Drosophila melanogaster: one gene and its partner. The protein of the gene in region 1 interacts with the protein of each later gene in a pairwise test. Each region holds a gene or a part of one and is shown on either strand. Other genes may lie near its edges.

Region 1 (2,976 bases):
TGAATCTCACAGTTCAAGTGCCCTTTCCTGGCAAGCTTCTCATCCACATTTTCGTAAGGAAGCTGTCAGATCAAGTTGGTGGTTCGAACTACTTCGATCTGATTCGCATGACGAACAAGGATCTCTGCAAGCTCCTCGATTCACTTCGCAATATTACAGTGGAGGAAATTCCGGGCGAAAGCCTTTTGCCCTCGACTTTTGTTGTCTCATGTCCTTTGGTTCCAGGCTTCTATTTTGTTGAGAATGGCGTTATTGATTCCAAACTGGTTCCTTTCCGCATTCCCGATGGCAGATACATGGTACTTTTTGAGCTGATACAAGTCTACGAGGAAGTTATGAAGCTGATTTCATGCAGAATCAAGTTTTCCATTAAGACACCACCTGGATACACGGAACCATCGCTGTTTAAAAATAGCGAGGAAAATAAAGCGACTGAGAAGCCAGTAGAGAAAACCGAAGAAGCAAGTACAGAGGTTACTCAGTCGAAAGAGGATAGTTCGGAAGTATCAAACGATTACGAATAATGTAATTTTTGTAACTTAAATTTTTTCAAATATATTATACATGGAGCCTCTCCCTTTTTTGCTAAATTTTTTCACCCAAAAAAACAATTTTTACACATTTTCTGCAAAATAGTACCATCTATCACCGAGTTTCGGGTGCGTAATAAAATTTATTATCTCCCACTAAAAATTCGCCGGGATTGAGACATATCGCACATGTTACAGCCACGCCCATAAATGTTAATTAAAAAACCCAGGGGCATGGGAAATATATCAAACATGAATTTAAACCGCGCGAGACAAGCCGACGACAAAGACTAACTCAAAGATATCCATTCAATCCAATCTTTTAATTTGTTGTCATGGTAAACTTTGTTTGTGATATCCATTCGACACGTATTTGTTTTTGTGGAGTACAAACTGTGGAATGTTTTTTTGAGCTGCGTTGACATTGTGGCGGCATTCTCGAAAGTTCGTTATTTACATATTTAGAGCAGGGCGAATGTTTCCGGTTTTCAGCTGCAAGATCGTCGTCAGCATCATCAATACTTGCACGATGACTGGGCAAAAAAAACACTTGGCCTCCGTACCAATCATATGTTGGTTTTTATACCATCGCCCAGCCCAAAATGGTTCCGTCGTTTAGCTTAACTTTTATTGATTTAGTATTCCACTCTACAGGCCTGACAGCTGTTCAAAGTGTCAAATATTTATGGATCCTCTGCTCAAGTGATAATTTATATTTTAATTGGCTTGACCACTGATCATTCGATCATTGGATCTTGAACTTCAGATTAACTTACCATTTGAATTGGGTGATCGAGGGGCTCTAGATACACTGAATTAGCAATTAAACTGCCTGGCATTACAATTTCCGCCTTCTTCCGGGTTTTGTTTAAATATTACTCCGCTGACCGCATTTGAGGTGACCTTCATTTGTCGATGTCTTCATTTACCCAGTCTGATTATTATTTAATCAACGATCAACTTCTTCAGTGGCTTAGCGAAGCAAACAAAAGATGCCACCACCAAGTAAACAGGGCAGCCTGGTTTTGCTGCTCGGTCCCGCTGCCGAAAAAATTGGCCCGAAAAAAAAAAAAAACAAAGCACCTGCCTCAACATGCCACGCCCCTTGAATCGTCTGCTTTTGGCCAGGTTTTTCTGTTTATACTTCTTTTTCGCTTACCGTCTTATTTATGCGAGACTCTTTTGTTTATGTATCGTTCATTTGTCCTCTTCTTCATTGCAAACTGCAGTTTACACATGACATTATCATCGATGGTCACCCAAAAGTTTGGCTATAAAAAGGCCTGATGCCAGATGGAGCCATGTGCAGTCGATATTTGGATTAATCAGCGTAATCATCTCCCCAGCAGCAGCAATCATGAAGTACCTAGCTCTGGTGAGTATTTGGATATAACATTTGGATTAATAATTGGATTAAATGATTTCCAATTAAGTGCAACATATGAAGTTGTTTGTTGAAGTATATTAAATTTTCAATTTGTACTAAAAATCTATTGTAATTCACATTTTTCAGACCATTTTCGTGTGCCTTATGGCCATCGCCCTCATTTCTGCCGTGCCCGTGGATGAGTCCCTGATCGGCGATAATATCTACCAGCCTGCCTTCGACGATGTCCAGCGTCCCCAGGATCCGCAGGCCATCTTCAAGCTGAAGAAGCTGCTCAAGTTGAAGAAGCTCCTGGGTTAGGAGAAATTCGCAATAAGCTTCGTTCAGATTCTAGTCCAGCCAATTGGGAACCTTGCCTCCCCCACTACATTCGATTTTCAAACCGTTTTGTTTAGACAATACCCAATAAGCACAAACACACAAACACACACAAAAGCACATACATACGAGTAAAGTATACGTAATCGTAACTAAAATAAATGTTATTTTCATACACGTCGGCTTTTCTTATATCATCGAAGCGTCGGGGATGAGATCTCCATGTGTGTCCAAAAAGGAGCTAATGACTGGCAGCGGGTCGGGTTTTTGTTTGCCTAGATCTGAATAAGAAACCCGTTTCGGATCGTTTCTGGGTAGAGAGTGTGAAAAGCGAACGGAATCTTCCTTACATGCGTATAAATATTGGCCAATCTCAGTCGTAAATGAATCAAGTGGGTTCAATGATGTGCTAATACAAGGAGCCCACTGTGAGATTAATGATCATACCTACTTTCATTAATTGGCATGATTAGTTAACTTGATATGCCAGTAATATTATAGCTTAACTAAATATAATATATTAAATATTTTCAAGTATCAAAATTATGTAAAAAGTAACGATAACTCATCACATATTGACATATTGAGAGCTGGTCACGAAAAATCGGACATGATTGCCATCAAGTTGAAGCACATGGTTCCAGCCTTTCAACTTACCATAAATTTTAACATTCAGGTGTATTAGTAGTATTAGGAATGATTTTAATGTGATCGTAAAAAAAGAAAATTATTTGGAATTGA
Region 2 (7,977 bases), on another chromosome or scaffold:
CCACCGGTTCCTTTGTTTGCCGTGTGGAGCTTCCGCTCGACGATTCCAATGGCAGGCCAATCATTGTTGAGGTTAACCACAAGGGGCGCAAGAAGGACTGCGTGGTGCAGTGCGCCCTGGAGGCGTGTCGAACGCTGGACAGGCATGGTGTGCTGCGTCAAGCCAATCAGGAGGCCCAAAAAAGGAAGCAGCTCAAAAATCGGGACTCTGATGACGAAGATGAGTTTTGGGACCGCACCGGTGATGTGGCGCGTAAGAAGCAGCGAAAGGATAATGCTGGAGTCAGTGTCACCCTTACCTATGAGGATTTGGTAAGTCTTAAATTACTTTTTCATCAACAGACCGACCAATTCCAACTTTTCCACAGCTGAAACAAGAGATTGATCTCAACATGGAAATGGAAAAGGTAGAGCAGGAGATTTCCACTTACCAACAAAATGAAAAAAAGCTGAAGGAGCTGGCGGCCAAACAGCAAGCTGAAGGTGATGATCTGGACAACTTCATGGACATGCTCACCAAAGACGTTGAGCAACTGGACAAGACGGAGATCAAAAAGTTAAGGGTAAGTACTTACAGATATTAGTATAAACAAAATGATTGATTGACTTCCAATTAGTTGGAGCAGCAACGAATCAAGGGCGAGCAGCAAAAGGTGGAACGCCTGCTGAAGATTGCCAAGCCCACTGCGCTGCCATTTACCACAAGCCTTGCGGCGGGTTCTAAGGAGTCGGCCGCCCAGGAAGGTGGTGCAGCCAAAAAAAAACAGCTTCCCATGATTGGCAAGCGAAATCAGTTTAGTAAATTTAAGGTGGTCAAAGCGTCACCAAGCACACAGACTATGACTCAATCTAATGCATTTGCCTCCGATGAGGAGGAAGTCGAAGAGGAAGAGGTCAAAGAAAAAGTAAAGGAAAAGGAGGCAGAGGTGGACAATTTGGAGAAGGAAGAGACGGAGCCGGAAAGTACGACAAAGCCATCGACTCCAGAAAACGATAGCTTGAAGGAAACTAAACTCCCTGCTCAACCGGAAGAGAGCAAACCAACAGTCGCTAAAACGGAAGTCCTAAAACCAGAGAACGTGAGGTCAACAAAAGTTTCAACGGAAGCGCCCCCAGCTCCCAGCCACACTGTTGCTTCAACTAATCCAGATGAAGACATGAGCACCCCCGTAGAAGACTCCAGCGCGCCAGCTGAAGACATCACCGCCCGAGCAAACGACACATCGGAACCGGAAGAAGCGCAGAAAAAGCGACGTCAACGCCAGCGACAGCGCAACAAGCAGCGCCAGGATGTGGACATGGACCTCGACGAGCTGGCCGAGCATGAGGACACCGAAAAGTACGCCAAGTGGGTGCCACCGACCAACCAGAGCGGCGATGGAATCACCCACTTGAACGAGAAGTTTGGCTACTAGCCCATTGGTAGCCCTAAAACACTGGAAATATTTAGTTTACATGTACTTTAAAACTAGTCTAGGTCTCGTAATTGATGTATTCTATAAGACCCTCTCATTGTAACTTTGTAAATGTTGAACCCTTGAATGTTTTCATATTTATTTGTTTAATGGGTACTCGGCGGTACTTTAGACGGAGTGGTAGAGCTTTTCACCACCATTCCAGTGCTGGCAACTCTCCTTCGCGCTGGCAATCACCCCTAGTTTGAGTCGAGTGGCGGCTTCCACGAAACGATTCATCCGGCGATTCGATTAAAATTCCTGCGCACATACACAAAATGAACGCCCACTCGGCTCAGCCATTTTGCGTCGAAGAGGCCATCGGTTCGCCGATGGGACTCCAGTACTTGAACTTCCAATTCAGTTATAATTTCGTCGCTCTAACCGCCAACACGGTCCGACGGCTGAACGTGGAGACGTGTTTTTAGTTTACCAATAGACCGTAGTCAACTGCTCGTTTGTTTTTACCAAAAACCGAATGGCTTTAGTTTGATTGCTTAATTCATTTTCAAATATCGATCTGATTGGATTCAGTCCACCTTGAAGTTGGGTTCGATTTAATAGCCCACGCGATTGCATTTCAAACAAGCCGAAGGCTTGTCAGCACCACTTGAACGAACGTGTGGGTGGTTGGTTTTCTTTTTTTTTTTTTATATATAATCTGGAACATTTTCGACAACTTCTCGGGTGCGAAGCTACATAGTGGCATTGGTTTTGATGTGGCCGACACGCGTTTCCCCAACAGCCGGAGCACATGTGCGGGTTACATTTTAGGACGCGTAACAGCCCGTCTCAGAAGACGTCCCTCCGCTGGGGCGACTGCTGTCTAGCCTAGTCTAGTCTAGTGTTCCGACCGCCATTCGTGTTCCTTGGCCGGAGACCTCATCCTCGAGTTCGATTCCCTCGCGACTCACTGCGTTCAAGCTAGTACTACTACGGGGCAGCCCGCATCCACCAAGAGCCCGTTTGGAACAGGAAATGTTGCATAAGTCGAGGCGCATTTGATTGGCGCGCTTCTTTGATTGTCGTCGCTAAGCTCCACAATCGAAAATTGGCGTCCGCTTGAACTTGGCGCACAAATCGCAAGACAGAGGTGAGTGGCTACCCGCAAATACGATGGGTCATGCGCAGACTGCTGGTGGGGATTACTTCTCACACTATTAGTCCGATGCGCTCCGTGCTTTGCTCAATTTTGTGAATGAAGCAGCCACAAGGGGGCAATGTGGCACACGGATTGAGGTGTTCTCGCGGCGGCCGCTCGCTTGACGTGGCTATGACGTACTTGACCCGCCTTCCCCCACACACACAAGGTAGTTTGAATTGTTTATGTATTTCACATAAGCGGAGTGAAGTCCCGACCATCCCGCTCCCAAAGTCGGTCTGTTACATAAGCAGGACACGTGCGTGTGGCTGCAATCAGAACTAATTTCCGCACATTTAAATGCTTTCACTATTGTTCGAATTACTTGGGAACTAAACGCTTACGCTAATAAATTATTAAATATTAGGTCCTTTTTACAAATACATTGATTCATTCATAAGAAGTTTATATCTAAATGAAAAATTTGATAATGAACTTCTTTATTTCACATTTTTGTAGTTAACAAAGCACACCTTTACGAAGATTTTCATTTGATTGTTAATTTTATTTATTAAAATCGAATTACAACAATATTTTTTATGCGTATTTATACAATTGTGATACTTTGGCATACAGTACAGAGAACTAAAGATTCTAGTATCTATAGTATCTAGTATTTGTAGTATCTAGTATCTATAGTCGATCTATTATAATTATAGGACCCCGTGGAGGTCAAACTCAATGCAATAGCTCCTTAATTGCGCGCCATTAACAAGGACGCATTTTCTGATGGGTGGGTGGGACGATGGAATGGAGGGGTGAAGTTGAAAGTGGGAAGTGGGGGCAACTCCAATTATATCCTTGCAAACAAAGGTCAGGCGCACCTGAGGCCATGGCCAATGCATTGGCTTAATATTTAATGCTTCGTGCTGTTGCTAGTTAATTGAAAAATGAGCTCCTGCCATATTAACCATTATGCTAAAGGATGTGGCTCTATGTGAAACCCTTGTATTCCATTACAGCTAGAAGGTCAACCCCATTTTGAGAGTATTTGGTTACAGCAGCGCGTGGAGAACCTTAAGTTTCGTAGCCAAGGACACGACTGAACTGCAAGGATGATCAATATCGCTGGCGTGGTGAGCATCGTGCTCTTCTACCTCCTGATCCTGGTCGTTGGCATTTGGGCCGGTCGCAAGAAGCAGTCCGGCAATGATTCGGAGGAGGAGGTCATGCTGGCCGGACGCTCCATCGGCCTCTTCGTGGGCATCTTCACCATGACGGCCACCTGGGTGGGTGGCGGCTACATCAACGGCACGGCGGAGGCTATATACACATCGGGTCTGGTGTGGTGCCAGGCTCCATTTGGATACGCTCTAAGCTTGGTATTTGGTAAGTCAACTTTACAGATTCCAATTAAGATTCCTTTCTTAACAAAAAGTGATTCTATCCTCCTTCCAAACTTAGGTGGCATCTTCTTTGCCAATCCCATGCGCAAGCAGGGTTACATCACCATGTTGGATCCGTTGCAGGATTCCTTTGGTGAGCGGATGGGAGGATTGCTCTTCCTGCCCGCTCTATGCGGTGAGGTCTTTTGGGCAGCCGGCATCCTGGCTGCACTTGGCGCCACTCTATCGGTGATCATCGACATGGATCACCGCACCTCGGTGATCCTGTCCTCCTGCATCGCCATCTTCTACACACTGTTCGGTGGACTGTACTCCGTGGCGTATACGGACGTGATCCAGTTGTTCTGCATCTTCATCGGTCTGTGGATGTGCATTCCCTTCGCCTGGAGCAACGAGCACGTGGGCAGCCTGAGTGACCTGGAGGTGGATTGGATTGGGCACGTGGAGCCTAAAAAGCATTGGCTGTACATAGACTACGGCTTGCTGCTCGTCTTTGGTGGCATTCCCTGGCAGGTCTACTTCCAGCGGGTGCTGTCCAGCAAAACGGCAGGAAGGGCCCAGCTTCTGTCCTATGTTGCAGCCGCCGGATGCATTTTGATGGCCATTCCCCCGGTGCTCATCGGAGCGATTGCCAAGGCTACACGTGAGTCCTAGCTAGACGACACTAGCAAGTAATAAACAGATATCCCCAAAATAGAAAGCACATATCCTTGGTGTGGGGGGCAGATTACCTATGCACCTTTGACTAATGTCTATTTTCTTTTCTCTGACAGCTTGGAACGAGACAGATTACAAGGGACCCTATCCCCTGACCGTGGACGAGACGAGCATGATTCTGCCCATGGTGCTGCAGTACCTCACGCCTGACTTCGTGTCCTTCTTTGGATTGGGCGCTGTTTCCGCCGCCGTGATGTCCTCCGCCGACTCCTCGGTGCTCTCCGCCGCCTCCATGTTCGCTCGGAACGTGTACAAATTGATTTTCCGTCAGAAGGCGTCCGAGATGGAAATCATTTGGGTGATGCGAGTCGCCATCATTGTGGTGGGCATCCTGGCTACCATCATGGCCCTCACCATTCCCTCCATCTACGGTTTGTGGTGCGTGAGAAGATGCATTATTCACCCTCCCTCAGCTCATTTTGCTAAGTGCCTGCTCTTCTTATCTTTCCGGACAGGTCCATGTGCTCGGATCTGGTCTACGTCATTCTGTTCCCGCAGCTACTGATGGTGGTGCACTTCAAGAAGCACTGCAACACGTACGGCAGCCTGTCGGCATACATTGTGGCCCTGGCCATCCGACTGTCGGGCGGTGAGGCCATCTTGGGACTGGCTCCATTGATCAAGTATCCCGGCTACGACGAGGAGACCAAGGAGCAGATGTTCCCCTTCCGCACCATGGCCATGCTGCTCAGCCTGGTCACGCTCATCTCGGTCTCCTGGTGGACTAAGTGAGTATAAGGCTATGTAAATTACATAGTTACTACATATTTGATTTATATTATTGTAATTAAATTAAATGTAACCCTTCTCCTAACCAATTTCAGAATGATGTTTGAGTCCGGCAAGTTGCCGCCCAGCTACGACTACTTCCGCTGTGTGGTCAATATTCCGGAGGATGTGCAGCGTGTGGGCGATCCCTCGGAGTCGGGTGAGCAGCTATCCGTGATGGCTGGACCGCTGGCCCGATCCTACGGAGCGGCCACCATGGCGGGCAAGGATGAGCGCAATGGCCGCATCAATCCCGCCCTGGAATCGGACGACGATCTGCCGGTGGCGGAGGCACGTCGCATCAACCAGGAGACGGCGCAGGCGCAGGTCAAAAAGATGCTGGATAACGCCACTGGGGTGAAGCCGTCGGGCGGAGGCGGTGGTCACCTCCAGAGCCAAAGCGGGATGGCCATGCCCACGGCGGAGCAGGACAATACGGCCTTCTGAGCGGAGTAGCGGAGAATCCCATGGCATCTGGGCAGCTGAATGCCCGAAAATAGGCTGCAGTTGATACCAGAGAATTATCCGATTTTATGTTGCGCTTGTTAGGGGGACACAAATGGGGGGAAGTTGGGGTCATCAGATCGTGGAATGGAGTACAGAAAGTATTAGGAAACGTACGTTAAACACACAAGTGCTCAGGTAAAAATTGCAGAAAGCTGATCGTAAGGTTTACATTTTCATTTAGCCAACTTATTGTGTATAGTTTCTACAAGCTTAAAGCGTTGTTCTATCGGTATTCATTTTGATGTTAGAGTATCTATCTATGTGTAAATGTTCACAAGTCAATTGACGACGAATACATATCAATTGCATTTTCCTAGCCCGAGAATTGCCTAGGAACACGTATTAACCCAAAAGGAGTTAGCCCAGTTAAAGTGGCTATGGATTAAGATGTATGTATAACCAAAGTGACGAGCATTTGAGCAATATGAATTGGCATTCCTGGCATTAGCATATCGATCATATATACTATACTATATAGATGCATAAAATGTGAATCATGTGTCCTTCCAGAACGAACAAAGCTAAGCAAAACTAACTAACTAACAAACCAATGCAAACGAAACATATCAAAAAAAAAAAAACAAAACAAGGCGGAAGTATATCAATATACATATCAGTCGTGTTAGCTATATAGGAGAATCGGGGTATGAAAAACATCCACTATATCCAAACAGTAGTCGTGTAAGTGGACGAAAGCGAGGCATATCGAGTTATATAGGAATGAATTTTAGCTGCTCTCAAAGAGCAAAAACCACAAGGTACATACATGGCAGATGAGGCACAGGAATGCAGATCTATATATAAATATACACATATATATATATATAACATGTTGCGTCGTAGTACCTAAAGATATACCTATACAAATCATATACACAAGCATATATATACATACACATATCTAGAAGCCAGCCACTGAATTTAGAGAGTTATACCCAAAGGAAACAACCACACCCACTGACCCACGAACCTGCTAAAGAACCATTGGCAAAGGGAGTTTCCGATCTACATATATAGACAAACACACGCTGCCTGAACCCCAAACCTCAAATCCCAACCTTTGATCTCCATTTGAGTATATATTGTAGTTTACCAAGAGGTGGGCATTGGTTCATCCTCTTCAAAGTCACTCGGCTCGTTTGTTGCTCTTTCGATCCGTTGGAAAGAACTAATCCAAATCCAAATCCAAATCTAAATCTAAACCTGAAATCTGAATAACTAAAGTCAACTCAAGTAAACTAATATGCGTAACTAACTTGGTAAGATTTTGAGCCCTATGGAAAATACCGCAACTACATACAACTCATTAAATTGTAATAAATGTTGACTGCTTTTTGATTGAGCCTCGTATGTTTGTTATATCGGGGTCGAGTTTTTTAACGTTTACATAAGTGAAACTAACTAAGAAGAGTTTGAGTCCATTTAGGATTATCTACCTATCATATGATATATCAAGCATATCTGTTCGTTGTTATTGTTATTATCTCTTGCATCCGTTCTGAGTGTGTCAATTTCGATGGCGTTTGAATCCGTTTAACTAAGAACTACAATTTGACTAAATTTCCAGAGAGATCCTACATAAAAGTATGTTAATTATGTGTGTGTTTGTATTCCATGTCTCGCGTTTCTTTGTGCAGTTCACCAGGTTTGTAAATAAGCAAATTATAGTTACTCGAATCGTTTGTAAAGTTACTATCAACTAAACCAAAACCACCAAATAATTTATGCATTCAACTGCGATGAACTTACTTCGCTTGGTTAAAACAAACAGTTTTGCAATTAGTTAAATATATACTCGTACCTACTTCTGTTATTGTTAACCAAACTTGGTCTATCACTCCAAGTTACCTTAGTGGCATTATGTTAACCGAACTAAATGAAATTAAATACAAAAAAATACAAATGAATAGGACGAAAGGTTACGATATACATGATGTATTAAATTAAAATTAAACCGAATACATATCAATGTTTTAAGCATAGCGAAATGGAATAAATCGAAAAAAAAGTATTTAATAAATAAAAGGTATATATATATCTACATT

The links.
Region 2: the proteins of CG15212 (region 1) and ChT interact in a two-hybrid assay, tested with the Drosophila melanogaster proteins (one large-scale study listed by BioGRID).

Annotation. Positions count from the first base shown.
Region 1 is NT_037436.4:5,129,717-5,132,692, forward strand, and holds CG15212 (uncharacterized protein), read left to right. Parts: upstream 1-1,828; 5' UTR 1,829-1,887; coding exon 1,888-1,905; intron 1,906-2,043; coding exon 2,044-2,217; 3' UTR 2,218-2,411; downstream 2,412-2,976. Other genes in the region: CG4597 (uncharacterized protein), read left to right, coding at 1-524.
Region 2 is NT_033777.3:18,678,791-18,686,767, forward strand, and holds ChT (choline transporter), read left to right. Parts: upstream 1-1,813; 5' UTR 1,814-2,207; coding exon of another isoform or gene 2,208-2,288; 5' UTR 2,289-2,546; intron 2,547-3,556; 5' UTR 3,557-3,649; coding exon 3,650-3,923; intron 3,924-3,998; coding exon 3,999-4,583; intron 4,584-4,713; coding exon 4,714-5,035; intron 5,036-5,112; coding exon 5,113-5,385; intron 5,386-5,481; coding exon 5,482-5,872; 3' UTR 5,873-7,949; downstream 7,950-7,977. Other genes in the region: CG7706 (uncharacterized protein), read left to right, coding at 1-311, 368-562, 617-1,414; CG46318 (uncharacterized protein), read left to right, coding at 2,208-2,288. UniProt on the Drosophila melanogaster protein: Imports choline from the extracellular space to the neuron with high affinity. Rate-limiting step in acetylcholine synthesis. Sodium ion and chloride ion dependent.